4 linked regions of the Rhinolophus ferrumequinum genome follow. The protein of the gene in region 4 purifies or fractionates together with the protein of the main gene of each other region. This does not show direct contact. Links are inferred from orthologs where the notes say so. Each region holds a gene or a part of one and is shown on either strand. Other genes may lie near its edges.

Evidence for each region.
Region 1: the proteins of RAF1 (region 4) and CCT8 purify together in Homo sapiens (affinity purification with mass spectrometry; 4 studies listed by BioGRID and IntAct, with this or other methods). This does not show direct contact. The link is inferred for Rhinolophus ferrumequinum from reciprocal best matches to the Homo sapiens genes RAF1 and CCT8.
Region 2: the proteins of RAF1 (region 4) and CALU purify together in Homo sapiens (affinity purification with mass spectrometry; 3 studies listed by BioGRID and IntAct, with this or other methods). This does not show direct contact. The link is inferred for Rhinolophus ferrumequinum from reciprocal best matches to the Homo sapiens genes RAF1 and CALU.
Region 3: the proteins of RAF1 (region 4) and DICER1 purify together in Homo sapiens (affinity purification with mass spectrometry; 3 studies listed by BioGRID and IntAct, with this or other methods). This does not show direct contact. The link is inferred for Rhinolophus ferrumequinum from reciprocal best matches to the Homo sapiens genes RAF1 and DICER1.

Annotation. Positions count from the first base shown.
Region 1 is NC_046285.1:95,826,286-95,833,897, forward strand, and holds the start of CCT8 (T-complex protein 1 subunit theta), read right to left. Parts: upstream 3,127-7,612; 5' UTR 3,025-3,126; coding exon 2,965-3,024; intron 475-2,964; coding exon 384-474; intron 1-383. UniProt on the Homo sapiens protein: Component of the chaperonin-containing T-complex (TRiC), a molecular chaperone complex that assists the folding of actin, tubulin and other proteins upon ATP hydrolysis.
Region 2 is NC_046309.1:17,384,434-17,392,422, reverse strand, and holds the start of CALU (calumenin), read left to right. Parts: upstream 1-4,754; 5' UTR 4,755-4,879; intron 4,880-7,989. UniProt on the Homo sapiens protein: Involved in regulation of vitamin K-dependent carboxylation of multiple N-terminal glutamate residues. Seems to inhibit gamma-carboxylase GGCX. Binds 7 calcium ions with a low affinity.
Region 3 is NC_046289.1:8,184,791-8,192,386, reverse strand, and holds the start of DICER1 (endoribonuclease Dicer), read right to left. Parts: upstream 3,238-7,596; 5' UTR 3,219-3,237; intron 3,197-3,218; exon of another isoform or gene 3,058-3,196; intron 1-3,057. UniProt on the Homo sapiens protein: Double-stranded RNA (dsRNA) endoribonuclease playing a central role in short dsRNA-mediated post-transcriptional gene silencing.
Region 4 is NC_046300.1:41,836,816-41,844,724, forward strand, and holds the start of RAF1 (RAF proto-oncogene serine/threonine-protein kinase), read left to right. Parts: upstream 1-4,663; 5' UTR 4,664-4,796; intron 4,797-7,909. UniProt on the Homo sapiens protein: Serine/threonine-protein kinase that acts as a regulatory link between the membrane-associated Ras GTPases and the MAPK/ERK cascade, and this critical regulatory link functions as a switch determining cell fate decisions including proliferation, differentiation, apoptosis, survival and oncogenic transformation.

The sequences.
Region 1 (7,612 bases), on a different chromosome or scaffold from region 4:
TACTTAAAAGTATAGTTTTTGCTTTCTCCCTAAATCTGTATCAATTATATTTAGTAGATGGTAAGAGGCAAAAGAGAATTTTCTCCCTTAAATCATGTCACTTTATACAAAAGAACTGTTCAGCATTGAACATTAGGCACTGTCTCGATGGTGAAAGAACCATAAAGTAACATTTGGATTCCTATTTTTCTAAAGATATCTGAATTGCTGATTAAAAACTGGAAGCACTGTACTGGTGTCATTGAACTACGAAATAACTTTCAAAGCCATACTACGTGATCGCCAAAATTCAATTTATATATAATGCTCTCACAGTAAGTTTGAAAGAGCTAGTACATGAAATTCTACTACTGTAACTTTTAAAAGATTAATTTAGAAATTACCATTTGGTCCATATGCTGTACGAGTCGTCTGGGCAAGCTCCTTGCAAGCCTGTATGTTCCTGTACACAGCCTCTTCTAATCCTGAAAAATGCTGTAAAAGAACTTCTTATTAGACGCGACAGTGAAACACAGTAATTTTCTTCATCTGTAAAACGGGGGTAATAATGGTACCTATTCACAGGACTGTTGAGATAATCAAGTAAGATTTGTGTATGTAAAGCATGGTGCTTGGTATTCATAAATGATCCATAAATTTGCTCACTAGTTTAATGAACAAAGCATGACATTTTTAGGGGCCACCAGTACCTATCTACACATTCAAACATAAAGCCTGTAAATTTTTTTTTTTAATGTAGTGGAAAAGTGCTAAGATTAATCAGAGAAAGCATGTGATTTATTTCAGGTAAAAATACCTTTTATCAGTACTTTCTGACTACAAGTTGCAATGTGGTATGAATACTTTTCTAATTGTGTTAGAGCCTGAGTATCATAACGCTAACAGTTCTATGTTCACAGGGAATTCCCATTTAACGTACCTGCCCCCAAATGTTTAGGGACTAAAGTATACAGACTTGAATGGCAACACAATTCCAATGTGTACATACTGAAAAAAATTGATGAATCGCTCACAGCACTAAAATTCTCAAGTTTTATATTGGACTTCTTTTAGACGTGATTTATTTGTGACCTCAGATAGGTTTCATGAGCCTACTGTTCTCCGGACCCTTTTTCTAGAGCTGCTTTGCCTAACATAGTAGCATTAGCCACATGGTTATTTCAATTTTATGTAATTAAAATTAAAAATTCAGTTTCTCAATTGCACTAGCTACAGTTCAAGCGCCCAGTGGCTATATGTGGCTAGTGGACACCATACTGGGCAATGCTGACATACGTTTCCATCATCAGAGAAAGTTCTGTCAGACAATACTGTTCTAGAGCATAAAGTGTGGCTTTTATTACACTCACAAAACTAACTGTGATCCAAACAAGGTTAATAATCACTTCTTTAGAAGGGGTGGACTCTTAGAATAGCATTCAGTCTGATCCCCTGCCCTACACTCTTGCTTCTTCCCCACCTCACCTCCATTCTCGGAGAAACAACCATCTGATTAGAAATCAGATCCCATCAAACCCTTCAATGCTTTTCCCACTAACTCTTAGGATAAATCGTAAATCCTTCCTCAGGGCTACAAGGCCCGACACAACACGTTCTGGCTCTTAGCTACATCTCCTCTAAAATCACCTCTTACTTTCCTTGCCTTCCCTTGGTAAGCTTCCGCCATCACCTTTCTTACTGTTTTAACAGCTCAAACTCATTCCATCCTCAAGGTATTTGTACTTACTGGGCCCTCGGCCTGGAACCCTTTCCCTTTTAATCTTGGCAGGTTCCTTGCGCCACTCAGCACTGACCTAAGAGTTCTTTCATGAACATCTTATTTAATTGCTCTAAGTCTCCGGACTCATGTTGCTCTGGTGGCAGACTTTGCTACTTCCTGTCGTTTTCTACTAGAGTGCTGTTTATATTCTCATCGTTATGTGAAATTATCCTTTTTGCTTGATCAGTCATTATTTCTGTCTCAGAATAAAGCCTACGAAATTTTCAGCCTGACTTTTTAAATAAAGTAAGCAGTAGTTGATGTAGTTTGCAGCAAAGCGGTTTCATCAACATTTACATTAAACCTTAATATTTATTTATACTCACGGTATGCCAAAGTGCATCCCGCCCACAAGAAACTAGTTCCCAAAAACTGTTACCTAAAATTGAACCATGCTGACCTATACTTCCTTAATTAAACACAGGAAATTTGGAGGACAAAAAAGGACCACTATTGGAACAGCCCAAGAGACAAATTTATCAGCAATGCATTAAAATATTTTTTTTTTAATCATGCTCTTTAAATTACATTCAAGGTCTGGCCATAAAACAAAGCAGTTTTATTTAGGCCAGGATGTCACTTACCCTGTGGATTACACAGGTCAGTCTGATAGTTACAACTTAAAGGTACCATCTTTTGGTCCAATCCCCTCAATTTAAAGGTGAGGAAAGCAAGACCTCCAGGGCTAAGTTTTACATCAAGGTAACTAACCTAAGTCTGGCCCAGGACCCATTTGGATTGTCTATCTGTCCTACTATAACGCACTACTTTTACGAAGTAAATGAGGAGCCCGGTTTCTCAGAAGGCTCTTCTTGAAAAGAAGCCGCCAAGAACTGGCCTTTGTTCCTCTCCTCTCCTCTCGAAGGATGGAGTGTAATCCGCCCCGTCTTACGGATGGAGGAGAAATGCACGTTTTAGGCTTGCCCAGCTAGTTAACGGAGGAAGCGAATCCTGCGGCCTCATCCCTAACCCGCCGCCTCCGACCTCTCAACGCTCCCTAGGATCGGGCAAGGGCAGAAATGATCGCGGGCGTCTGTGTCCGAGACCTCCAGACAACACCTCCCTTTCTGGAATCTTCTCTTCCTTAGACCGCTGTCAGGGTGGAGGGTCACACCCGGCCCTTTAGGAGGCCTTTTTCCTTCATTGCGGCCGCCGCAGCGCTACGCCGACTCTTCCACCTTACTCCCCCTTTCTCCATTCCTCACCTTCGCTCCATCCTTGAGCATCTGGGCAAAGCCCGGGGCCTTGGGGACATGAAGCGCCATGACTAGTAAGCAGGTAGCCCTTCACACGCCGGATCGCGAGATCCCAGAAGCAGCGAGGGGCACGCACAGCCTCCTGGGAACGCAGCGTGCCGTGACCCCACGCTCCTCCTCTCTCTCCTGCTAGACCTGCCCCTTTCCCGGCTGCCTCGCGAGATACAGCAGTTCCCGCAGCCAGAACTGAGTTGACGATCCTCGATCAGGTCGATCGATCGAACCGATCGTAGAGCGCGCTTTCAGTCTTCGAGTCTACGCATGCGCAGGCGGCCCAGGTTGTTGAGGCTCGCTCCCGACTGTCCCCACTGTCGAGACTCCGGGGTTGGGACGTTATACTTTTGACATTTCTGACCTGGAAGCCTCGCCTCCCTCCTAATATTAATTTTCAGGTACTCCTCCAGACCCACCCATAACATCAGGGCAGGTGTTTCCTTTTATCCCGAAGCAGAGCATCTGCCCTCATCCGCAAAAATCTATCGTTGGGCGTCTGCTCTGTCTTGGTCATACTAGTAAGAAGTGCTGGGGACGTGAGAGTAATAATTAGTCTGTGAGGATAACTACACAGCTCCTATGTGCCAGGCTCTGTGTTGTTTTCCATGCAGTATCATAGCTAATGGCCAGTCTTAACGAGTTAACTATCATTTTCTCCATTTGGTAGAAGCGGAAACAAGTTTACAAATGATAATTTGTCCAACATCACAGAGTTAGTAATGTCAAAGCTAGAATGCCTACCCAGATCAGACTGACTACAGAATGCACATTTTTAACCACTGTCTATCTTCCTTTTTTTCTGCTTTTGCCTTGAAATACAAATCCCTTTACTCTTCCAGAATCTTAAAACTTGATCGGTGTGTCTTCCCACATCAACACATGGCTGATTTCAAAAAGACTGAATGGTAATGGAGTATTTTACAGAATTATATCACAATGTGAAAGTTATCCCTTCTTGTGGAAAATACAGAAAACATGAAGCAGAACGTTTTGGCTCGGCTTTTGTTCTTTGACTTGAACAGTACAAATTACTATTTTCTTTCGGGACAGATTTTGTGTGCTTTGGGGAATAATCACATGTGTCATGGCTATCATCAGTTATAACTTTTTCCACTTTTTTCTCAAAAAATACATAATTATTAAAATAAAAAAGTGCTTTTTTGCCACCTCAAATGGTATGTGAACCACCTATTGGGAAGCATTCAAAGAAATCAGCGGTTCTCAAAGTGGTTTGGGGACCTCTGAAGTGTGCTAAGACCTCTCAGGGTCCTCCAGGACCAAACTATTTTCATAATAATGCTGGGACATTTGTTCTCATTGTTTCAGTGGAAAATTTGCCAGAGGTTACAGAAGGTGTGTGATTAAAACAGTTTGAATGTAAAAGGCATGAGAAACCAGTTATCTTCTGTTAAACCAAATAAGAGACTTGCAAAAATGTAAAACAATGCCACTCTTCTCTTTTTTTTTGAAAGATAGTTATTTTTAATAAAATATGTTATCATGTGATGAGTTTATTACTGTTATTTTTTAAAATTAATATTAAAAATATCAGTTTTGGTTTATAAAACAATATTGGTAATTATAACCCTCATTAATAAAAGCTATTGAGAATATCAATAATTTTGAAGAGTAAAGGAGTCTTAAGACTGAGAAATGATAGAACCACTGCAATAGGTCAGTCTTGAACAATGATAGAACAACTGAAGATTTTCTCATGATTAGCTAAGAAATAAAACTTATTTACCTGACTTAGAGTATTATTTATAACCCAAAATAAAACTGAAAGGGGTTAAAAATTACACCTGATGAAATTTAATTAATAAAAACTGACTAAGGAATCGAATTTTGATAAAGACCGTGGAAATTTAAACTTGAGGATGAAACAATTGGTGAATCAAATTTCCATGGAAAGTTTATAATAAAAAATTGATCTTACAATTAATTTTAAATAAAAAGGAAATGGAAAGAATTGAAATCAATTAAAATCTGTATGGTAATTTATCAAGAAATTGAATTGATTTAATTGCCAAGAAGAATGATTTTTAGATGAAAATTCATTAATTTTGTATTGCTTGGGTTAAGCTGTCTTCATAGTTATAGAATCAGAGGGTGAAATTTCCACTGGATCCAAATAATAGGCCAAATAATCTTTGCCCAGAAAATAAATACAAATGCTTAACGTGGCTTCGAGGCCTAGGTTTGGTCCCTGCTTATCTCCCAAGTGTCTTCTCCTTGGCCTTCCAGTCTGTCTTCTGCTCACAATAGCCTGAATATTCATCCTGTCTGTTTCACCTCTTCCACATCAGGGCCTTTGCCTCTGCTTTCTCTCTACCTAGAATGCGCTCCCACTCCCTTTCGGCTGAGTTAGTTCTACTTCAGTAAAAAGACCCTTTTGTTAGAAAGCCTTCGATGATTCCTAAGACATTCGCTGTTAGTCATTGTCATAACTTCTCCTTTATAGCACTGATCACAGTGGTAATGACAAAATTATAATCTCAGCTGCTAGGCATGGCATGGAGGAGAGTCTTAAATAATTGTACAATGAACAAATGGATGATCAAATGGGTGTCCAGAAGAGGGCACCAAAGAATTGGGAGGTGTGGTCTCTATTCGTTTCATCCAGATGTACATGCTCTAAAACTAGAGAATATTACAAAGTAATCAAAAGGGTTTGCCCGGGAGTTTGCAAAAGACCAAGGAGACTAGTTTTCTGCTATTTTGATTCAAAAGCCCAGGACTCATGTTAGGTGCCAACTGAAAACATGGCCTTTAGCTGTTTCCTGGAGTGAGGGTGCCTGCCCCTCAGCTCCCTATATTCAGGAGGAACTCCGCTCTTGCCCTGGGTGGGGATGTCTAAGCCATCAGGACTCTGATAACCAGTCACTATTCGTTTCCAGTGATTTTGTTTCTATTTTTCCTCTTTTTTTTTTTGCCACTGTACTTCAGAATTTTTTTATTAATTTATTGGGGTGACAATTGTCAGTAAAATTACATAGATTTCAGGTGTGCAATTCTGTATCACATCATCTGTAAATTACATTGTGTGTTCACCACCCAGAGTCAGTTCTCCCTCGATCACCATATATCTGATCCCCCCACCTTCATCTCCCACCCCCCAACCCCCTTACCCTCTGGTAACCACTAAATTACGTTCAGAATTTTTTGTAATGTTTTAGCCTTGTCTATGTGTTTTACATTTTTTGGTATTTAATTTTGCGAACTCCCATTAAATCTTTAATCTTCTGGCTTTTCTTCCCTTCCCTCCCCTCAATTTGTATTATTGATTTCATATTACTATATCATCTATTTTCACTATTTTTCCATCAAATTTGATTCTTTTTATTGGGTTTTGGATTTTATGACTCATTTTGTGTCAGCTTCTTATTTTACTTCAATTTCTTTTTTGTGTGAAAAATCTCAATTTTTCTTTATAAATATAATTTTTTAAAAAATTGTAATCAAGTTTCTTGGGGCTTAAGAGAACTCCTGTTTCCCTCTCTGAGTTTGGAAACAATTACATGGGAATCAGGCAACTGGGATTCAGAATATCACACGTTGGAGGACATGGCTTAGTGTAAAGCCCAAACATGCTTGTGATTGCTGCTTTGCACTCAATTGGAGTAGAAAAAAAGAAAAGAGGTCATTAGACTTTAAATGGGGTGACTCTGTTAATCTGGAAATAAATAGCCCAAATGAGAGGCAACTAACATTTATTTGGGATCAAAAATAATTGCAGGGAGGGGAGCACAGATTCAGGTAGAAACCCAAATAGTGTCCCAATACAGGGTGAAGGCAGAAGGTTTTTATGAGAAAAGGAAGGGGACAATTACATGAATAGAAAAAGAAATTTCTATTGGTGGTAACAAGCCGAGTTCCTCTTTAGCTATACATGGCTGGTTACCAGTCTATCATCAGAAAGAGACTCCGTGATCAGTCATTGTGATCAAGTGTTTGTTTTCCTGTTGGCTTTATAAGTAGTTGTTTGTAAGACAATGTTGGTTTGGCTCAGTTCAAAGGTTATTTTGCCCAGTTCAAATATTCCCAAGTTTCAAGAAACAAGACGTGCAATATACACTGAGTGCATATAGGCAGATGCAGTATTTGCTGATGTCACTCGTGCCATGACCAGTATGTCTAGTCTCGATTTTCGGTTGTTTAGCTGGAGGTTTCTCCCCTTCCATTAAGAAGATTCCTCTCCTAACATGGGGTAGTTGTGGCCTTAACATAATGTTCTTACACTGCCTTACTTTAAAAACTTCAAGCAAACTGACATGTATCCATTCTGACTATATTAATCATTTGACTGCAGGAGGCCTTAAATCTAAGGTGTTTGGTCCCTCTTTTTTAGAGGCTGAGAAGTCTAAAATCAAGGTGCCAACAAGGTCAGTTTCATTATGAGGCCTTTTATCTTGGCTTGGGGGCAGCCACCATCCTGCGTGTGCAAGATCTCTGATGTAGCACGATGAAATTTCATGCCGTCCTGCTCCATCCTGCCTGGGATGTGAACCATCCCTGTGTCCAGGGTCTCCACACTGTAGACGCTCCCCACCCATTAGTCACTTAGTCTCAGTGATCAGATCTGTTGTCACAGTAGCACGGTGTT
Region 2 (7,989 bases), on a different chromosome or scaffold from region 4:
AACTGTACCGACCCCATTATTCCCATTCTCCAGCTATCCCACCTCCTATCTTTCCCTCTGAGTCCAGTAATCCTTCCACCCCACCGATCCTACAATTTATTACTCCTTCTGGGTTTTCACTGTCCCCCACTCTCCTCATGTCCTCATTTTCCTTCCTGACAGCCTAGATTCTGTGATGAACCATTATCATCACGCCCTTACACGCACCTCAGCACCGACATGAAAGGCAACATGAAAATTCTGTAAACTGGACCCAGCTCCAAACACATTAATACTACGAATAGGCCCTTTTCCAACTATATACCTGAGTTTAGCTGCTCATGAAAACTTACACACACCACCCCATTCTGAAATATGCCCCTCCCTCAGCACCTCAACCCCTTTGAGTCTTTATTCTTTATTCTGTTCACATGGCTGAGTCCAATTCTCCACTCGCTCAATGCCTGCACCATGCCGCTAAACTTGCCTGGAGAAAACCGCATGAGATCCTCACCAGTCCCACCTCAGAGTCATAATCACAAGCCTACGGAGGGTCCTTAATGTCTCCTGGAGGTCATACTGTGTTTTCCTTATCTATTCTCTCTGCTGAATGGCTGTTTCACATCTTCGCTCTCCTCCAGCCCAGTGCCTCCTAATGACCCAGCTTTCCATTGCACTGAGAACATAGTAACAATTGAAAGAGAACTCCAAGCTCTCACCACCACGTCTACCACTTACCTGGAACCAGACCCACAGATCTAGTTTCTCTCCTTGTTGTTATGGAAGAACTGTCTCCCCTCTAAGCAAAGTCCAACTCTTCCCCTTGTGTGCTGGATCTCCTCCCATCTCACCTACTCAAGGACATTGCTCCAGCAACTCTCCGTTCGTTTTCCTACGTCATCAGTTTGATCCTCGCTCCTAAATCCTTCCCACCAGCAATCAGAAAGCTGGTATTTCTTCTAAACATACTGTTATTTGTTCCATTTAAAAACCGAACAAAATAAAACAAAACCTCTCTTGGCCCTTCTGCCGCTGCCGCTCCATTTTCTCCACTCCTATATGGTAAACTCTTTGAAAGGGTTTCCACTCCAATTTCTTCCCATTCTTTCTTGAACAACTCCAGTAGGTTTGTGCACCCACTACCCCAGCAAGCCTGATCCCCACATTGCAAAGCCACTGGCCAACATCTCACCGTTAGCAGCATGTGACATATGTGACTACTCCTTTCTCCTTGAAACAGTTTCTTCACCTGGATTCGAGAACACTGCACGCTCCTGGCCTTCCTCCTCCTTCACTGGCTTTTCTTTTGAGTCTCATTTGCCGATTCATTCTCATCAACACCCCTCCACCATCTCTGAACATTAGAAATTTCCAAGACTCGGTCCTCGGTTCTCTTCTAATGAAAACTCATGGTTTTCATATCACATATATACTAATTGCTCCCAAATATATATCTGTACTCCAGACCGCTGCAAACTCCAGAGATATATATCCAACTACCTACTTAATATCTCCATTTGAATGTCTAATAGGCACCTCAACATATCTAAAACTAATCTTTCAATATTATCCCTCAAAACTTGTTCCCCCAAAGTCTTCTCTGTCCTGGTTTTCTAGTTGCTCAAAACCTTGGAGTCATCCTTGATTCCTAGCGTTTTCTCCACCCCATTTCCAATCCATCAGGAAATCCTTTTAAACTATTCTCAAAATATAGGCAGAATCTGACTCTTCTCACTATTTCCACTGCTACCACCCTGGACCAAGCCATCTTCATCATCACCTGGGTTGTTGCAAAAGCTTGTAAGTGGAATCCTTGCTTCTAACCTCAACCTCTTCAGTGTAATATGACCCTTTAGAAATCTTAGACTATGTCATTTCTCTGTTCAGAACCTTCAATGGCTGCCCACCTTTATTAGGGTAATGCTAGTTCTGTAAGAGACAAACCTCAATATATCAGTGGCATAAAATAACCAGTAGAAGACCATTTCTCACTCACAAAGTCTAAAAAGGGTGTTCCTGTTCAGTGAGTGGCTCTTTAACGGGAACCTGGGTTCTTTCCATCTTGTGACTCTGCCAACTGCACTACATAACTTCTAGGGTGGCCACAGAAAGAGAAAGAGCTTGAAGAATCACACACGGAAGGTTTGTATGGCCAGTACTGGAAGTCGTGGACATCACTTCTGCCTTTCTTCCTTTGGCCAGAACTCAGTCCCATGGCCACACTGCAAGGGAAGTTGGGAAATGTAGTCCAGCTATATTCACAGGCTGAAGAGGAAACAGTTTGGTAAATAGCCAATCTCTTCCACGCTATCTCATTCATAGCCAAAGTCCTTACAATGGTCCAAAGGCCCCACAGTGCCCCTCTCCCTCTTACCCCTGTCCCTGCTGCTATTATGACCTCATGTCCTCTCCTCTCCTCTGTTGTTATACTCCAGCCACACTGGCTTCCTGCTGCTTGTCAAACACTCTAAGCATGTTTCAGCTCACAGCCTTTGCCCTTGTTCCCTTTTTCTGGAATGTTCTTCACCACTTTCAAATGTTGACTCCCATATCGCTTTCTTCATGAGCCTTCCCTGGCCACCCTTTCTAAGATTGCAACACCACTTCTCATAGTCCCAACATTCCCTTTTCTCCCTTCTGCCTTATTTTATTCCTTAGAACCTGTTACCACCTCTCATTCTACATATTTTGCTTTTTTGTCCTGTTAATTGGCTACATACCAGCATATGAGCACTGTGAGAGAGTTTAGTCCATTTTGTTCACTGCTGTATCCCCAGTACCTAGAACAGTATCGGGCACACAGGGAATAATATACTCATTTGTGGAGTGAATGTTCAGTAGCATCATATGAGCAGAGCTGGGATGCCTGATGTCAGACTTTTGAAGTTGACATTATTGGGCGGCCGGTTGGCTCAGTTGGTTAGAGGGCATTGCTCATAACACCAATGTTGCCGGTTCAATTCCCACATGGGCCAGTGAGCTGCCCCTCCACCACTAGAGTGAAAACAACGGCTTGACTTGAAGGCGATGGGTCCTGAAAAAACACACTGTTCCCCAATAAAAATTTTTAAAAAATGAAGTTAACATCATTATAATTGGATTTTAAAATATAGAAGCTTTATGTGCTAAAAACACAGGTTTATATTCCATTTGTGTTGCAAACATAGTAGTCCCCATTTAATATTTGTTTTAATTTTATGACATGAAAATAAATAAGTGAATAATTTTCTGTGTTCCTCTTAAATCAGGGACATGCATTCTGTTCTCTTAACACTATTTAAGCATTTACTTTGAACTCAGCAGTAAGCTCAAAGCTGTAGATACAAAAATGAATAAGGCAGATCTCTAACCTGGAGCTTAGTCTGGAGAAGGACATATGGAAAGCCGTGTTTTATACCAAGATTTGGCAAACTATATTGAATATACAAAGTACTACGAAGACAAATAAGGGAGGAATTATTATGCCTAATGGGGTCAGGAAAAACTTAAAGAGCTAACATCTGAACCAGAATTTCTATAAACTGGAACTTCTATTGGCAGAAAATCTGGAAAATGCACTTACTCCAGGTATAGGAGGTCAATTGATGATGAAAGACCATAGACAGGTGAAAGGCAGGCTATTAGGGAACACCAAGATGATGGTGGCCAGAGAGCAAGATGTATGAGAGGGGCTGGTGGGAGGTCAAGTGGAAAGATACACTGAAGCCAAAGAGTAAAGAGCCTGCTGTAGGCTACTCCACCATGGCGCTAGGGCTGAAGGGAAAGAAGTTGGGGTTGTTCCATGCAGTTAGTGATTGATACTGTCGAGGTAAGAAACATCCAAACCTGTAGAGAATTTTTATGAGTTTATCTGAGCCAAAATGACGACAATTGCTGGAAGCAAGATCTCAACAGATTAAGAAAACGCTCTGGAGAATTGCAGTTGCGCGTCGTATTTTAATATATTAGAATAAAAAGAGGGTTAGATGAAATTCAGTGGTGGTAGATTAAGGGGTCAGGAGAAAGCAAAGTGGGGGAAATCTATGGGATTGGATAAAAAGGCAAAATGGAGCAACACGGACTTCCTTTACGTTGGTGGGTACAGGATGGCTAGTAACATTTACTGCCCATAGTGATGGCATGCGGGGAACAGCATAATGAGGGGCTCAGTGGTCTCATGCTCTGGTGCTTGTGGTTGTGCCTTGAGAGGTCTGGAAAAGATTACTCTGACATTTAAAGGGTATGTTATCTTAGATGCAAACAGATAATAGGCTCACTTAAGGTAAAGACAGACCTTTGTCAAGGAAGCTACAGGCCTACAACTTAACTACCCACCATGACCCCCTTTTAGTTAGGAATTTTTATGTTCATACCATACTTTGTGATTACTTTTGGTCCGAGTTTATAGGGCCTGCCAAGCAGGCCTCCCCTGAGCTTGTCCAGCTTCGCATGTGGCCCATTTTTCCTTCATGCTGCAGCCAGATTATGAAGGTGCCAAGGGCATGAAGATAACTAGCGGAGTAATCCAAGAAGCCCTGCAAGACACAGTCACGCGCCCTGAACCAGGACGTGGCAGCCAGGCTGCCTCGCCCACAGCCGCCCCGAGTAGGGGGCTGGGGCCCGCCATCCCAACAGGACCCGGGACCAGAGTTGGGCGGGAATTCGCCCACGCAACTAGGCGCGCTCGGGGACGTGGCGCTTTCCAGCCAATGGGGGCTACGCGATCGTGCGACCAATGGCTGTCCAGCGAAGATCTGCGCGAGTAGCGGGTTTGTTGCTGATTGGCTGGGAAGCCGCCCGGTGAGGCGGAGAGGGGCGGGGTGCGGAGTCGCTTCCGGTTGGGAGGTGCTTGTGCGCGTGAGCGGAGCCGGTGGGTGAGCTGCTGCTGCGGCAGCCTGGGCTGTGGGCGCTACCGGGAAGGGTAAGTATGGCGGTGCTCGGCCTTGTCTCCAGAGCCTCCTCCTCGTTAGCTCTCCTTTTGTCCTCAGTCTTCGCTCCCGGCGCGGCATGGATCTCCCTCGTTCCCGGCCTGTGTTTCTGCTAGTAGTTCGGGGACCTGGGGCCTGAGCCTGCTCACGACCCCGTTGGCCCTCAGCGCGCAGCCTGGGTTGAAGGCCGCCGCTGTCCTTCCCGCGCGCTCTGGGAAGCGGCTCGGGTCCCGGCGAAGCCCGGCTCCCGGCTTTACGTCCTGCGGGTTTCTGTTTTGCGCCTGGCTTGCGGACGTTCTCGTCCTCGGTCCCTGGGCCTGGCCACTCATCCAGTCCCTCGGACTAGAGGGTCATTCTTGTTTACCTCCTGAAGGTCGGAGGGCAGTCGGGTAGTGTAATTATAACAGCTCCCTGCCACCTCCTCCTCACGGGCCTGCTCGTGTCGGCCAGCCCCGCCCCGAGGCCACATCCCTAGAGCACGGTGCATCTGCCAAAAAAGTCGCGTTCGCTGACTTTTAGGGTGTAGAAGAAACGGGGGGGGGGGGGGCGGGAGTAGAAAGCATAGAGACACTAAGTGATTTTTTTAAAACAAAGTTTCTGTAAGTTTCTCTTTTTAAAGAGAAGCCGACTGTTTGGAGCTTCCGTGTATAGCTGCATGCTTAAGTCAGCGACGGAAAATAGTTTTCAAAGCTTTACTAGGGAATTGTATTGTCACCCTCTTTTGTTGCTCCTAGCCCCTGACCCTGGTTCTGATTTTTAGCACGCCCCCAAAGAAACTATAGCTGCCCTGATGAAGACTATAGTAGTGAGGTTTGCAGTTTCGAAAGCTGCTTGTGCATCCAGGCGAAAGCTCCTTGGGTCTCCTGATAAAATTTGAGGGCCTTCGATCTCAATTCCTAAGTGTAAAAACTCCCAGAATTCTTTGAGAATTGAATTTCATTCACTTCCTGGCATGGACAATAAAGTCAACATGAATGAATCATAAGTAAGGTTGCTTCTGGTTTGTTTTTGTCGCTGGGAGGTAGAGAACTGTGTCCCCTCTGATAAATTAGTCTTTGCCATAGAATGGAAGTTGACACAAGACAAACCACGTTTGACCTCCTTCAGTAGGTTCAGTGAACCAAGTACCAAATGACAACCGTCACTGCGTCACTGAAGAATTTATGTAGTACTGGATAATGCAAATGAGGGTCCAGAGGCAACCTGTAAATTATATTTGTGTGTAGAGAGGATGAATTTGCTTAGGCCTAATCTGAGTTTTACAGTGATCAAGGGTCTTCAATAGGATCCACTTGAGAGTCTACTGGGAGAACCGGGAGCTGACAAAAATGAATTGGGTATGTCTGAATGGATGGTACTACTCGGATATACAACCTTGAAATCAGCTCATCATCATCACTCTCAATATAATCATTGTTTGCTACCATCCATCCAGTGATGTGTCAAAAGATACTTACTGCTGGTATTTTACGTACATTGCACCAGTGTAGGTCATCAGTACATTGATAGTAACACAGTTTCTGTGCCAGGGGTGTTGGAAGGACAGAGATGTAGCCAAGGGATAACTGTTGGAGATGCTTGCTAGGCCATAAGATCCTAGGTCCTCTCTCTATGAACTCTCATTAAATATGGATGTTGTTGGTGTTGCAATTTATGTATGAGTTAAGACCGCTGAAATAACAATTTGCCTGTTGCTGGCTGATGGCCACATCCGGTAAGGGGAGTTGGGGGTTGGGAGCATCCACAGGCAGGAACTACGTTGCTGCCAAGTACCGTCCAACTAATCTAGTGGACTACATTGGTATATAAGAAATGTAAGACACTGTATTAGGAACTGTAAAGGGATATTGATTTATATTAGCCACGATTCCTGCTTTCCAAAAATGTATGATCTGTAGGGGAGGTAAGGAGACAACTTGAAGTAGCCTCTGATCACTATTGTGGAGTGGTAGAAACAAGTTTTATACAAGTTTAGAGGAATGGGTACAGATCACTTCCAGCTGGAGCGATAACAGGAGATAAGTCTTTTCATCTAGCATTTAAAAATTATTTATAGACATCTGGCACTGAAGGGAGGTTGAGCTAAAATAACTACCAAATTCTCTAGGACTTTATCCATGCTACACGTGCACAGCAAAATTACAACTAGAAACCAAGGCCCTTGTCCCTACATTTTGCATAGCATTCCTATGGCAATTAATGATTCATTAAAGTTTCATCAGCCAAAAGGAGACTTTTGTCCCTCCCAGAATTTCTAGAACTTTTTTTCTTAAACAAACATTTTCACTCTGTAGCCACAAAAATTTCAAGTTTGTACTGGGTTGCTTTGGTTACAGAACTAATGAAGCCTGAGTAATACTTCCTCATTCTCAAAGCTTTTCTTCTGCAGCCAAATTTTGCTCTTTTATATACTCAGCTGTCTTATAAATGTATGTCCTCAGTCACACAAATAATTAGAATGTATTAATGAACTAATGTAAATTTACTCCATCACTAGGGAAACATTGAATAAATGGTTTGTCATCATACCTTTTATCAAATCATGAAGGATGACATTATTACTTTAATGTGACAATTCATTATTGGTACTCGTAGCAGAGTTGGTAAGTGCAAAATGTCAGATAGATAACTAAATGGCTTTAATTTCGTGTAGTTAAGTGACTATCAGACTGTTCCCCCCAGTCCACAACTGAAGTAGACACAGAAGCAGTGAGATCCTGCTTTTGCTGCATTAGAGAGGAATGAATGCCTTTTTTCCTGACTGTCCAGCTCAGAGAACTGGAATTTTATCACCACACCCATTTCTCCCACTTGTTAACATTGAGCAACGGGTCTTTGGTCAACCAGAATAACTGTAGGATCACTCCGTGCTAATGTGCTTGAGAAGCTGAATTGCATTCAGGCACCTACATTTCCCTGAAACAATTTCTCTTGAGTGTTCTGTGATCAGTGGAGTTTTACAAAAAGATAACTTGAAGGGGAGAAATGGCAAGAATTTAGAGCTTTCGAGGCAATTTTTGAATGGATAAAATAAACTGATTCTTTTTTTCCCCCCGCCTTCTTCTGCCCTCCAGCCGTTGTTTCTCAGTCTAGTTGTGTAGGA
Region 3 (7,596 bases), on a different chromosome or scaffold from region 4:
TGTACATAACTGTGTGAACAGCCCTGAGAAAACTCATATTGCAATAAATTCTGAGTCTAGTGCTCTGATGATCAAAAAACAATCTGACCACTTCTGGCCATGTACCCAAAAGTGAAAGCAGGGACTCAAACAGGTATTTGCACACTTAGGTTCACAGCAGCATTATTCACAAAGCCAAAAGGTGGAAGCAACCCAGGTGTTCACCTATGAAAGACTGGATAAATAAAATGTGGTTTATACATACACAATGAACTATTATTTGGCCTTAAAAAGGAAGGAAATCCTGGCACATGCTACAGCATGAATAAATCCTGAATGAATGACCCCTGAAGATGCTAAGTGAAACATGCCCAGTCACAAAAAGACCAATATTGTATAATTGCACTTATGCGAGGTTCCAAGAGCAGTCAGATTCACAGAAAGAAAAAGTAGAATGATGGTTGCCTGGGGCTGGGAGGAGGGCAAAAGGGAAGACTATGTTAATGGATACAGAGTTTCAGTTAAGGAAGAGAAGATGAAAAAGTTCTGGAGATGGATGGTGGTGATGGTTGCAAAACAACGTGTGTACTTAATTATCACAAAACTGTACACTTAAAAGTGGTTAAAATAATAAATGTCATGTATATTTTACCACAAAAAAGGGGGAAAATCTGAAATATTCAGAGAGAGATCACCTGAACATTTAAGGTTTCACAGTTTCATTCATTCAACAAGTGTTAACTAAGGACTTAACTACAGGTTATACAGGTTTTTCCCTGAAAATCCACTTGGGAACAGCAATGCTACTCAACAAAAAGAGCACACATGCAAGGATTCTGAAATCAAACCATGACAATCCGGGCTCTGCCACTTCTAGACTCATAACTTGAGGCAATTATCTCTGAGTCTTAGTTTCCTTGCATGTAAAATAAGGACAATATCTCGGCCACAATGAGGATTAAACGAGAATGTATATAAAAGCACCTGCAACATCTTGGCACATAAGGAGGCACTTCTTATTAATAAATGCTCCCCTTCTCTCCTTTGCCACAAGTAATGACCACAGGATGTTAAAGTCACAAGTGAGAGACTGTGCAATACCTACTTTCTCAAATGAAGCAAGCATCTCACATGTCAGACAGTGGCAGGGAATAAGTATCGCAATGCCATAAAAATCATCCTTCCTAGAAGGTGGCACTAGAAGGTGGCACTACACTTCAGGTACCACCCACTATGTAACACCACAAAATCACTATCAAATGAGATCATGAGCCACATCAAAATAAAACGTCTTCTAAAACCAAGACAATAAACTCAGCAATCACAAAGCAATCTCACTATGCAGTTCATACACGGGGCCACAAGCATTATACAGAAGGCAGAACTTAATTAATCTTTATTGATGAGACAGTAGAATAAAAAGTAGAGCAAGCCGTTACTAAAATAATTGCAGGAAGACTTTTCTCCCCAAATTAAATTTAACTAATACATCTTTTCATAAAACGGCATTTTGATGCCATGAATAAATCTGTAAGCCAACATTACCATTTAAATGCTTATTCCGTGACATATTAAAAGCAATCATTAGTGTTTCTAATCTACAAAGTTTTATAAAATATGGCCGAAGATGAAGTTTTGAAAATAACTGTGTGTATAGATATGGCATATATTACATCCAATACACTCGTGCCACAGGTAGCTAGTGTTAAAGACAACACTTGGCAAAATAAACTGATTATTCCAGAACCTAGTTCCTAAAGATATTAGCAATACTAAAGTTATTATTCACTAGCAGCCTCATTCAGAATCATGTACCATCATCCATGTAATAAATTATTGGATCTCTTGGTAAGATCGCTTTTTTTTTATTTAGAAAATTTAATGTTTATACCAATACAGTTCCACTTTAGTTAACCTTTTATTAAAACACATTGAAAATATATAATTTTCCAAGTTACTTAACTCCTTACTTCTGCCTTTTTCCAGTCACTGAGTTGCTGCACTTGAAAACTAAGCAACAAGAAGACAACTGAAAATCGTAACTGTAAAAATTCGGAAAATTCAAAGCACCTCAAGAAACACACACTTTAAAGTAATACCCTTTAATTGGATGAATGTTTTTAAACCGCGCTAGTCATAAGAACACTCAGACTTATACGGATCAGTAACGCCTCCCTTTTAAGCACGACTTTCTTCACAAAAGCACTGACTGAACACTATCCAGCGAGGATTCCCCACTCATCCCTGTTTTTGCAAATCTTCAGGCTGTTAAAGATACACTACGTGGTTTGTTAGCTCTGTATTGCGGGCAAAGCCATTGGGGCAGCTCAGCTTTTCCAGGTAATCTATATAAATCTGATGTGCTAACTTAAAACATACACTGATTTCCCAAAGATTAAAAACCCTTTGCAGGATCCAGACGTTCTGGCACAAAAACCTGGGAAGGGTGGAAAGATGGCCTCGGCCACCCGCCCCCTGGGACCCAGACCTGGTCACCTGCCAATAAACATGAACAATCCTCCCACTGCTCCCCGGGAGGGCCCCGAAGGCTCGCGCTTTCCAGCCAGCACGCGCAGCCCGGCTTCCTCCCCTCCCAGCTCTTTCCAAGGTGTCCACTGAGGCCCAGCGCAGTGGCCCCCACCACCGCAGGTCCCAGGATGCTCCCGAGACCCCGCTGCAGATCCCGCACCACTCCGTGCGCGTACCCGGACCTGTCAAACCCCTGGGGCAGGGCCAAGCGGTGAGGGCGCGCTCCCCTCCGCGTGCGGAGGCGCCCGCGTCCCCAGCCAGTGCCGGAGCGACCGCACAAAGTCCCTCCAAAGCGGCGAATCAGGAGCGGCGCCAGGGTCGGGGGAGGCGCAGAGCCCCGCGGGTGGACGCCGGCCCCGCAGGCCGCGCCGCCCGGGACCAGAAGAGGCCGCGCCATCTGCTCGCGCCGTCTCCGCCCCGCGGGCCAGGCCGGAGCGCGGGCCCAGGGCCGGGACGCCCACGCGGGCCCGGGCGCCGAGGCGGGCGCGGAGCCGGGCGGAGCCGCTCCCCGCCCCGGACACAAAGCGGCTCCGCGGGAGCCCGCCTCACCTGCAGCACGGGGCGCCGCGGGCCTTCGAGAACCATCGGACCCCGCTCCGACGCGCGCGTCACAGCCCAGGCCTCCCGGTGCTGCCCGGCGCCGCCGCCGCCGCCGCCATTTCCTCCCGCTCGCCGTCGCCTCGTCCCCGCTGTCAGGTTACTCCATTCACCTGGGCCTGGAGCAGCCTGTGCCGCGCCGCGCCTCCGCCTCGACCCCTCCCGCCGGCGCCTGCGGAGACTGCGCAGCGCCCGGCTCGTCCGCAGCCCGCGCACGGCCCGCGGCAACGGCGCACCGCGGCTTGGAGAATCCCACCGGCGCCCGCGCCGCCCCCTCCGCGCCCCCACGCTCCGCTCGTCCCGCACCGGCATGAGAGAGAGCCTGTGATTGGACAGAGTGTGGCGGTGAAAGGTTAATCCCGGCCCCCCAGCCACTCAGGAGCCAGGAGACAGCGGACGCGGCGGCGGAGGCCGAGGCGGCGTTTGCGGCCCAGCTTTTGGCCGGGACCCGGGCGTTCGACCGCCGCGGCCCCGCGCCTTTGCGACCCTCGTGGGCCTGCGCGCCGAGGTTGCGGACACTCGCTTAACTTGGCAGAACCTCTTGGCTCATGGAATTCGCCCGCCTCCATTGTTGCCCTTTCTGGCACCCACCGCCCTCTGAACGTGGCCCTGCCCCACAGCTGTAATTGTTCTCCGGAGGGCTCGGCGTCCGTTTTCCACTTCCCAACCCCTATTTCAAGGACCTTCCCACTTGCCTGCTTTTGCTCCGCATTAGTGGTGCGGGGCCCAACGCATTAGGCGAGACGACAGACCCCACCTCCTTCCCCACACCCCGGAGCTGGGATAACCAAATAACTGAGATGGGGACAGTGGCCCCACTTATGTAAATTGTTCATTTGCATAGGTTGCAACCGTGTACCATACCTCACAGCTGTGAATTAAAATATGGAGGCCAAGTAAGTGGCTGGCTTAAAGAAAATCCTATTCATTTATGCCAAAATGTAGACATCTCTTCCAGAGGACTCACCTGACAGGTTTACTCCAGAGGAGGTCTGGTAACAGCAACCATGCTTCTGCTCTCAGGAGTTAGCACTTAGCAGCACCTACTACGCGCTAGACACTGTCTAGGGCTGCACTCTTCAATACAGCGGCCACCAGCCTTACGTGGCTACTGAGCACTTAGAATATGGCCACTCTCTGCTGAGACGTGCTAGTCGAACTCAGATGTATGTGTTCTTTACCAGAAAAGAATGTAAAACATCTAATAATTATGTTGGTTACATGTCGTAGTGGTATTATTTTTAATGTATTGAAATAAATATCAGTTTCATCTTATTTTTTTAATGTGAGTGCCGAATGAATTTTAACGTTTCATGTGACTCGCGTTATATAATTTACTGTTGGACAGGCTGGTGTAAATAAGCCCGTGATCTTTACGTGGACCCTGTGAGGTAGGTGCTGTAATTGCTGCCCCCAACACACATACACACTATTAAAATGAAAACCTCCAGCAAGTAAACTAATAAATGAACAACTGAGATTTGAACCCAGGTATTCTGGCTTGGAGCTGATGTGCTCAGTCATTACTGTGCTCAAATTTTGATCATATATTTACTGTAAATTGGCTTGTAGGTTTCACTTAAACATAGAATGTTCATGGGTAAAATGAGGAAATAGTCAGAATGCTCTTGGCAGACTTCCATAGAAAATGTTTCTTATATTCCAAGCACAGTGGGAAATAGATCTCTCCAGTAGTATACAGAAAGGCTTTGGAGCCATAATCCTTCATGGGAGGATGGCATCTCAGGATGGGAACAGGTATGGGGGTCCACTAGCAATGGGAATTTGTGGGCAGGTTAACACTTTCAGGCCCTCCTGCTGTCCTCCCAATCTGTCAAAACTAGCTGGGCTTCTCCATCCACAGCTTTCTCTGATTTTCATCAAGTTAAACTTTTTTTTTAAATAAATAAGCACATATATACTATGTGGCTTGTCCATCAGAAACCATTAAAAAGTATACAGTAAAAATTATCTCTCCCCCGACACCTGTCCCCATGCCCAAACATGTAACCACTATTTTTTTGCTCCTTCTAGAGCAATTCTTTATGCATGTACAAGCCCAGGACGTTCCTCAATTTACAAAAATAGTGGTATGCCATACACATTTACTGTGCCTTGCTTTTTATTACATAATATATCAAGAAGATATGTGTATAGCAATATATACAGAGCTCCTTGCTTTTTTTTTTTTTTTTCCAATTCCCATAACATTTTATTGCAGGGCTATCCCATTATTTAACCAATTATCTATTGATGGACAGTTAGACTTCTAGTCTTTTGCAATTAAACATTGATCCACTTGGAACTGATTCCATACAAGGGATGTGGTATAGATCGAATTTTTTTTTTCCAGATGGCTACACAGTTTGCTATTTATTGGCCATTTGTTGAAGAGTTCACTTCTAGACTCTATTTTGTTCCCATGGTGTATCTATTCCTCCTCCAGTTGCTGGTTTATTTTAAATCTGGAGACATAAAATCTTGTAAGGGATAGTGTTTCATACTTTGTTTAGATCACTAGAAATCTTAGAGCTAATATTTCAGCCCATATTAAGCAGCAGTACAGTTCCATGTGGTATGCATTTTCTGTGGGCTAATTTTTATTTTCCCTTTGCCCTGATTATATTCCACAATTTGTTTCATTTTTTTTTTTTGGTAGAACAAGCCAGGATATAAATAAATATACCTTTGTTTAAGACTCTCTGTTTGCAAGTAACAAACCAATCTTAACCAAAAGGGAAGAATTTATCATAAGGATGTAGGAGTTTCTCACAAAAGCCAGGAGCAGAAATACAGCTGCATCATAGCTAGGGCCTACAACCAGTGATTGAAAAGCTTCCAGGAACCCGAAAGATAACTCTTCATGTCCTTCTGTGACATTTTTCCTTTGTTTTCTGCTTCATCTGTGCATCTCTCTCTACTAACTTCTTTTCTCTGCTTTACAACTAACACTGAAGAATACAGCCACCCCGTATTTATCTAGGAAGTCAGGCCAGTGTCGGGGTGTGAGCCCAGAAAGGGAAGGAAGGACAGCCATCCTGTAAAGTCAGGTGACTGATTATACAGGGGGGCTACACAAAGGAAAAACTATTGAGGATAATAGCAGCCAGCTTTCTCACTTTTGGAGAAGGGGTTACAAATACAAAAAGAAGAAAAGCAAGAAGGCTTGAGTGATTGGATGGGAATTGAGATGTCGATGTGAATTCAAGGTTTTTCAATATATATATATATATATATCTATTAAATAAATACAAATGTAAAAGTATCATATAGATGAGCTTAGAACATCTTGTGCCAGAGAGTATGAAAATGCTCAAAGAATGATGAAGACAATTCAAAGACAAAGCAGTCATCTTGAAGGGCCTCCTGCTGGCCAAATCTGAGACAACTTTTGAGCATCAAAATAAATTATGACAATACAATATATCCCATGCATATGGATATATCCATGAATCTACACTGATTTTTTTTAATGAATAAATAAATCGAAAGAAGAAACAGCTCTTCCTTTGAGTAGAATTCAACTGATAACTTTGGAAGGAATAATGGAATTGGAAAATCACCATTTGGCAATCATCAGCCAAGAAATATCAATGTTTACTAAATCTAGTGGGTAAAAGTTGGACAAGGAATGAGATAGTAATATAGTTTCAAAGCATCTCCCCATAAAATTATTATTTTAAAAAATGAGAACTTTACAAAAGAGAATCTAGCAGATACACCACCTTACTCAAGTATTCAAAGTTAACTGTCATGCAAGGAGTCACAGACAAACCCCCCAAGGCCACATGGTACATCTATAATGTGGGATTTATTGGGGGAAACTTACATGCAGAGAAGTGGGAGAATGAACACCGTCCCTTTAACTTTCATTATTACACAACATAGGCCAAGCACAGCTCTTGACCACGACCAAGGTTTCAGCAAGACAAGGCCTGCCTCTGCCAGCAACCAAGTAGGTGTACAACAGACAGAGACAGAGCCCAAGACAGAAGTGGGCCCCATCCCCACACTGCATTACATATTTATATGTTGGCCTAATTGGGGGTGGAGAATTTCTAGTTTCTCTAAATAACAAGAACTACGACAAGGGAACTGCTATGATGGCAGATGCATATGGATGGATATTGGGCCACAAAAGAAGGGGAGCCTAACAGTCCATGGGGGGTCAAAGAAGTTCTTCCTAAGTAAGGAACCCACGTAAGCTGAGACCTAAAGTGCTAGTGATCAAGTAAAGGGTAGGGGACTTCCACGCAGAAGGCCCAGGATGCCCAAAGCCCAGAGGCAAGGAGGTGTGGGGGCTCATTCAAAGAACTGAAAGAAACCCAGTGTTGACCCAACCATAGAGCAAGCGATAAGGAGACGGGGAAATGACACCAGAACGGAAAGAACTTATGTATCATGTTAAGGATTTGCTGTTTCATCTCAAAGACGAAGAAGCCATATAAAGGTTTTTAATCAACAGGTAATGTGATCAGATATACATTTTTA
Region 4 (7,909 bases):
ACGTGCAACCCAGTGAAGTGCAAGATGATCCCTGCAATTCCACTCCTAGGTATATGCCTGGAAAAATTGAAAACAGATACTCAAACAAGTACATGTACATTCATGCTCATAGCACCACTATTCATAATAGCCAAGAGATGGAAACAGCCCAAATGTCCATCAACGAATGGATAAACAAATTGTGCTATATATTTACATATTCAGCTATAAATAGGAATGAAGTACTAATACATGCAACCACATGGATGAATCTTGAAAACATTATACTAAGTGTAAGTAGCCAGATAAAAGGTCACATATTGTATGATTCCATTTATACGAAATGTCCAGAACAGATAGAGCTATAGTGATAGAACACATATTGGTGGTTGCCAGGGGCCGGGTGGGAATGAGATGGGGAGAAACTGCTTTGTGGTTAAGGGGTTTTCTTTTGGAGTGATGGAAATGTTTTGGAATTAGATTGAGGTGGTGGTTACAATTGTGAACATACTAAATGCCATTGAATTGTTCACTTTAAAATGGTTAATTTCATGTTATGTAAATTTCACCTCAAAAAAGTTATTTTTGAAAAAAATGAAGTAGCCACTCTTACTGGTCTGGTGAGGATTGAATAAAGCATGGGTTCCCTAAGGATTCTAAGATGTGAAATGCTGGGCAAATAACAGCTGGGGACAACTGAAAGAAGGAATGGCCTGGGGGTCAGCAGGTGTGGCTTTGCTGTTCTGCCCCTAAGCAGTAATGATATAAGATAGCTATAATAATTACAGCTGACACTTCTATAATGTTTAATATGAGCCAGGCACTGTTACAAATGCTTTACATCATAAACTCACTAAATCCTTTGTCGTGCGGGGCGTCCGGCGGGGTCTCTGGTCCCACTCCCCACACAAAAACGCAGGACATGGTGAGGCCAAAAAGGAACACCCACAGAGCCATAGGTAGGGGAGTCATACCATTATACTCTCACTGGCAGCTGGGTTGGAGACACAGGAACCAGGAGCAACACAATTCTCAACCCTCACTGTGCCGCTTGCAGACTCAGCCACCATCTTCTTGCTAGCTCCCCCTTTTTCCTGCTAGCCTAGCCATGGCAGTTATATTCATGGCTAATGGCTCACTGGTTACAGCTGACGGCCAACTAGCTACAGCTGATGGCCATTTGATCACAGTCAATGGCTATTTACTACCTGAGCCAGCACCTTTCTATGTGAGGCCGAGAGCCTGGAAACTGCTTTTTGGGGCTCTGTCCCCACACTCCACCCCTACAGGGTCTCGCCTCACCATCTACGCGACAAGCGTCTTCCGCGAGGGGCCCTGTGCGAGGAGCCTGGAGGTGAATGCTATTTCCTGGACACAGCCAAGCTCTCTGGTCACAGCCAGGGTTTCTCAGGGCACCACCAGTACTTCTGGGCACAGCCAGACTTCCTGGACTTCTTAGGGTACCACTAGTCTCCCCGGGCACAGCCAGGGTTTCTCAGGGCACCACCAGTACTTCTGGGCACAGCCAGACTTCCTGGACTTCTTAGGGTACCAGTCAAGGTGCTTACATATTCTCGATGGCGGCCAGTCAAGACAAAATAGCAAACATCTGCCAGTTCCACTACATGGTGGTATGTTCCCAAACAAATAGTCAAGCTGTCCATTAAATTAGGGATGGAAGGCAATTCCCCATAGTCCATAGTCATTCGCCAGGGCTGTCCTGGGGGTGAGGGATGACCTTGACCTCACCCTCAGCTCCCACGGAGGACTCAGCAAGCCTTTCCTCCTGGGACTACAAGTCCTGCATCCGGGCTGCCTCAGCAAGCACTTTCCATCTCACGGGCCGCAACGATCTTCACTTTCTCTGGCCTCTGCTGGTTGGGGAACCGTTCACGTCTTCCCATCCCTCCACGGGGTTCCAGCTCTCAGGCAGCTGCTCCGCCTGGTCTTCCTGCAACTGAGTGTTCAGATGCACAAACTGCTCCACTGCCCTTCGGGGAGCTTTGGCCAACACCGTACCCTGCTCGCTGAGCCATGTGTCGTGCAGGGGATCCTGCCGACTATGCCATGTGTCATGCCGGGCGGCCTGCAGGGGATCTTGCCAACTTCGCCATGTGTCATGTAGGGTGTCATGCGGGGTATCCTGCCGACTACGCCAAGTGTCGTGCGGGGCGTCCGGCGGGGTCTCTGGTCCCACTCCTCACACAAAAACGCAGGACATGGTGAGGCCAAAAAGGAACACCCACGGAGCCATAGGTAGGGGAGTCATACCATTATACTCTCACTGGCGGCTGGGTTGGAGACACAGGAACCAGGAGCCACACAATTCTCAACCCTCACTGTGCCGCTTGCAGACTCAGCCACCATCTTCTTGCTAGCTCCCCCTTTTTCCTGCTAGCCTAGCCATGGCAGTTATATTCATGGCTAATGGCTCACTGGTTACAGCTGACGGCCAACTAGCCACAACTGATGGCCATTTGATCACAGTCGATGGCCATTTACTACCTGAGCCAGCACCTTTCTATGTGACGCCGAGAGCCTGGAAACTGCTTTTTGGGGCTCTGTCCCCACACCTTACAATGCTAACAGGTGGGTACTATCATGTTTCCACTACAGATGAGAAAACTGAGGAACTGAGGTTTGAATGACTTGTCCAAGTCACAGATGAGGAAGTGGCAGAGTCCAAATTTGAATTGGGGCACTTAGCCTCCATAAACTGGTCTCAAACCCCAGGCTCTGTAGTAAGGGCTTTCCATGTTTTATCTCATTTAATCTTGAGAGGCAGGTATTACTGTTGTTAAAGGAAAAAAAACCAAAAAACCACAGGCCCCAAATGGTATCACTCGTGCTAAAAGCCCATGATACAAAACCTAGATTTAATACCTGATCTAATTGTAGTTTCAACCTCTCCCAGAACATAATTAACCAGTCTGGAATTTTCTGGTCAAGCACCTGTAAGGTCATCTGTCACATAGGCCCTCTCCATCCCTCATAGAAAAAAGAGGCAATCTGCATGATAAAAACCCTTGCCCTTCTTGTTCCAAAAGATGTCCAGCCAGAAAATAATCCTTTTTTTCCACTAGTAACTCCTCTTCCTCACGGTTTCCTATAAAAACCTTCCTTTTTGTACAATCCTTAGCAGCTCCCTTCTAGTTACTAGATGAGATGCTGCCTGATTCATGAATCGCTCAGTAAAGCTAATTAGATCTTCAAATTTACTCATTTGAATTTTTAGTTATAATGCCTATTAAAAAAAAAAATCCCCTCATGGCTCATTCGTATTTAATGCCTTCATATTTCCCCGGCATTTATTTTCATGTTGGTCCACATACTCCTCTCATTATCTCATCGTGCTTCACTTCATTGTTCTTTATGCCGCGCATATTACTACCTATTATTTCCACTTTATTTTGGTCTCTCATCACTAGAAGGCAGGGCTTTTAATAATTGTTGATTTCCCAATACTCAGAACAATGTGTGGTACACAATAGGCTCTCAATAAAAATTTAAATGAATGTTGCACACTGTAGTGGGTAGTTTTGTGTGCCTGTGTTTGAATAAGTAAAATTATACTGTACATGTTCTTTTTTTAAAAAAAAATTCAACGTCCTGTATTAAAAAAAAAAAACAGTACATAAACCTACCCATTCTTTTTAACAGATGGATGATAGATCTTCCATACTGTGGAGGTAGCACTTTTATTTAACCAGCTTCCTATTTAATTAATCCACATTTTCCCCAGTGTACGTCTAAGGCATACAATATTCCTAATAAACATCTTAGTACATACCTTTTTGTGTATACGTGTACATATTTCTCTAGAATTAGTGCCTAGAAGCGGAATTGCTGGGAGGGTTATAACCATTAAAATATCCATAGATAATGCCAAATTGCCCTCCTGATGTCCATTTCTGCCAGTGCTCAACGAGGGTACACAAGTTTTCATATACCTTGGACCAGACTGGATATTATGAGTCTTTTCAACTTTTTGCCAATCTCATGGGGGGAGAAGGAACCCCCAATTTACAGATGAGAAAACTGAGGCTCAGAGAAGTTTAGGGATTTTCCCACACAATCAGTAAGTGGCGGAGTCGCGATTCGACGTCTCCTGTGTCCCACTCTGGAGAGGATGAGCCAAAGCTGGACAATGTTCTACGCTGTGCATCCTCGGGAATTTCTGGGTCTTGTGATGCTGGCAGGCTTGCCCTCCTCCCCTCTCTAGGCCTCAGACCCCCTTCGAGGCGGCTAACCTCGGCCCTTCTCCACTGCCCACCGCCTCTCCCCAGCCTCGAGCCTACAACCTCCGGGCTCCGAAATGGCGACCAGCTAGCTCGCGAGGCCACGCCCCTTCCCTGGGAGGCGGGGCTGAATTCAGGCCGGAGCGATAGATGCCGGAGCCAAGTTTGAAGTCGGCTGCCAGGCTCGCGCAGAAGCAGACAGCCGGTGGCTCTTCAGGTCGGGAGGAGGAGCACCGAGTGGAGGGCTCGCTTGCCGGGGCCGCCCGAGAGTTTCTTCATCGCGGGTGCTGGGGCCGCCATCTTAGATGGCGGGAGTAAGACGAGAGCGAGCTTGAGACGCGCTCCTTTCCTGCTGCTCTCTTTGGGCCCCAAAGAGGGCCAGCTGGCCGGGCTTTGGGGCGTGTGCCCTGAGGCTCGGAGCGCGAGTGCGACGATGCGGGGGCTGCCCGGGGCCCCGTCCCCTGGGCTGGGGACGCGCTGAATGTGACCGCCTCCCGCTCCCTCACCCGCCGCGGGGAGGAGGAGCGGGCCAGACGCCGCTGCCGGACGACGGGACACGGAGGCGGCCCGGCTCTTTAGGTAGGCGGCTGGGCCGGGCCCTGGATGCTGAGGAAGCCGTGCGGTGGGGCTGAAGGGGCCGGATTCCCTGGTGGCCCGGCCTGGACGGTGCTGACGGAGTGGTCCCAACGGCTGCTGGGTGGAGGGCCCGAGCCAGGCCGCTGTCACCCCGGTTGGCGCTGAAGGGCGGGGGGGCCCCAGGACTCGGTGTCATGGCCGGCGAGCCGAGTTCCCACATCTCCACTCTAATTTCCTTGTGTTTCGGGGAAACGGGCCAGCGCCACCCCTGTACCTGGTGCACATTTCTCATATTTTGGCAGTGGGGAAATCCGCCCATTGGTGCCCTGTATCTGTATGTTGTCACTACCTTTTCTTATGGCCGCGGAGTGGGAGACCTGAGCTTGCATCTTCTCTCAAGGTCCGTCACTCAAGTGACACCCTTTTTTAGGGAAGACGAGAGAAATCCGGGACGAGAGGAGGAAATGGGTCACTGCTCTACAAAGGCATAGGGGCCTCGCCTTGGGTTTCAGGACTCTGTGGGTTACTAATGAAAGGTTTGGGATGCTTATACTGACAATTGGCCTCGGGATGGATGCCTTGGAGTGAAGATCCAGGGCTTTCTTTTGTGTAGAGTGAGAGCCGCCAGGACGCTGCAGCTGCAGAGGCTTTGCAGCGCAAGGCGATGCCCAGAGAGAGGAGTTTGGACATCGGGAGAGGGGAGGCGGCTGTGTTCATTCATTGTTCTCTTTCCAGCGCTCTGGGTGTGCCCTCTGGTATTCAGTCTCTGGTGGGAAGAATGATAGGATCTCCTGTGTCTCCTTGAGATGAGACCGGGTCCTAGAGGATCACATAATCTAAGTAGGGGATGAATTCAGGGCACGTTCTTTTAGTATTTCTGTGTGCCTTTTCCTTTGTGGGCTTAGTGGAGGGAGTCTCTGCCCTGCGTTGGCTCCCAGGGCGTGAAAACAATGCGCTGTGATAAGGATGGACTTACCAAGTGTTGTGGGAATTGGGAACCACTCGTTTTTCCTGGGGGAGTTGAGGAAGCCTATCCACTGGTGGGGACTTCTGCGCCGAGTTTTGGAGTGATGAGTAAGTAGTCACCAGGTGAGGAGGAAGGGAGAGCATTTTAAAGGGAGGGAACAGCTGGTACAAGGCTTAGAAACATGCAGCGGTTGGAATGAGTTTGGGGAGCAGCAAATAGTTTGGGGTGCAGGAAGGAAGTCGTGAGAGTTCAGGGTCTAAAAGAAAAGTTGGCTAGCTTGTGGAGGATATTTGTTGAAGACAGTGAACTAGTTGATTTAATTTGGATTATTTTAAATGAGTGTTGCTAATTTTTTTTTTTGCTGATAATTTATTTTCTTCTTTTGATGATATTGAAGCTGATATAATTGAAAATATTTACTTTGTTAAACCCAGGTAACATTTTTGACAAGTGCTTTACACAGCGGTGAATGAACTGAACATATTCCTAGGGATTCTTGCAGAAGATTTTTCTAAAGTTACAATTGCTCACAAAATTGTTGACTTTATAAATGTAGTGTACTAATACTGCATTTTGAATGGCTGTTGACAACAGAACTCATGCTCCCCAGTCATACAGAAATTGCCAGATTATATAAAACATCTGAAAAAATGTAGAATGCAAGTGGGTATTTTTAGTTTAGTATATGTGTTTTGTATAGTAAACTGTTTCTTTGGATTGATTCCATGGATTCCAATTCTGTATCAAGTCTTTAGCTCTATGAACATAATTTCCTCCAAATAGCCGTATTGTTGTGATTAATGCTGTGCTAAAGTGGTTATTGTGATATTAACAGGCTTTGTTTAGCAGTTCCTAAATCTTTCTTGGGTTGTGATGCTTCTATACCACTGAAGGACATTAAGGTTCTTTTCAGACTCATCAATCACAGGTGTCAATCAAGTGGTCCCCTGTCTGGAGGGGAACAGCCCATCCCAGAGAAAAATAAAAACTCCAGACCCCCCCCCCCCCCAAACAAAGGGCCTTGAGCCGCTCTTCTTGGTGCTCAGTCCATTCCTAATTCTTTGGAGTGTACTATCTCTTCTAGTAAACTTTTTTCACTTAAAAAAAAAAAAGATTCTTTTCATGGTGACAGAATGGGAGTAGACTTTGAGTGGTGAGCACACAATGTAATATTCAGATGATGTATTATACAATTGTACAACTGAAACTTATATAATCTTATTAACCACTGTCGTAAATTTAATTTAAAAAAGATTCTTTTGGCTTGTTTTCACCCTTATCACCTCAAGGGCTAAACTGTTTAAATTGCAACAGAAACATTTGACCCAATTGATTGAACACTGGATACTTGAGAAAATAAACCTGTTACTGTTTCTGTTGTAAAAGCTTATCTTTTAGGTATGTGGTATTTGTGATATAAATAGTAGTGGAATTGCTTAGTCTTGATAAACTTTTGTCAATAGTTGAAAAAATGGTTACGCCTTCAGAGTAGAAGGCTTGAGTGAAATACATTAGAACATATTTTATGGGATTTGGTTTAGCAGAAGAAAACAATGAAAAGCAGATTAAGCTGGTCATTTATGATGAAAAGTATCTAAAAGGTGAAATGGAGAATGGTTAAACATCAAGTGTTGTATTACAACTGCTCTGATGCTAGTTGCTTTTAGTTTAAAACATGCCATTTGTGAAATTCAAAGTAGGTGATTTGCTCTGAAGATTAAACAACTTGGAAGTTAAGTTTGACTTTTCCAGAAGCACTAGATTACTCATTAAATGGAAAATATAATTAATAACTTCAAATTACTATTTCAAGTAGTCTGTTAGTAGTAGATGTATTATTCTACAACATTTTAATTTCAGATAAAACTTTGTTGGTATTCTGCCTAAAAACAGAAAAATGCTACATGAGGGAGTGCTTTTGTTTGCATGTTAGGAACATAATAGGCCATACATAATAATTCTGGTCTTGGGAGGAGCTTGTTAGCCAAACAGCATGCCTCAATGTTGACTTGCAGAGGAGAATTTTAAATATTGCCTTTGAAAGGCAGTGGACTAATGTGACAGTAGGGGGTTTATGAAACCACAAAATCATGCTTTGACTTGAAAAGGTTTTTTGTTTTTTAAATTGTGTAGAACATGGAAGTTTGAT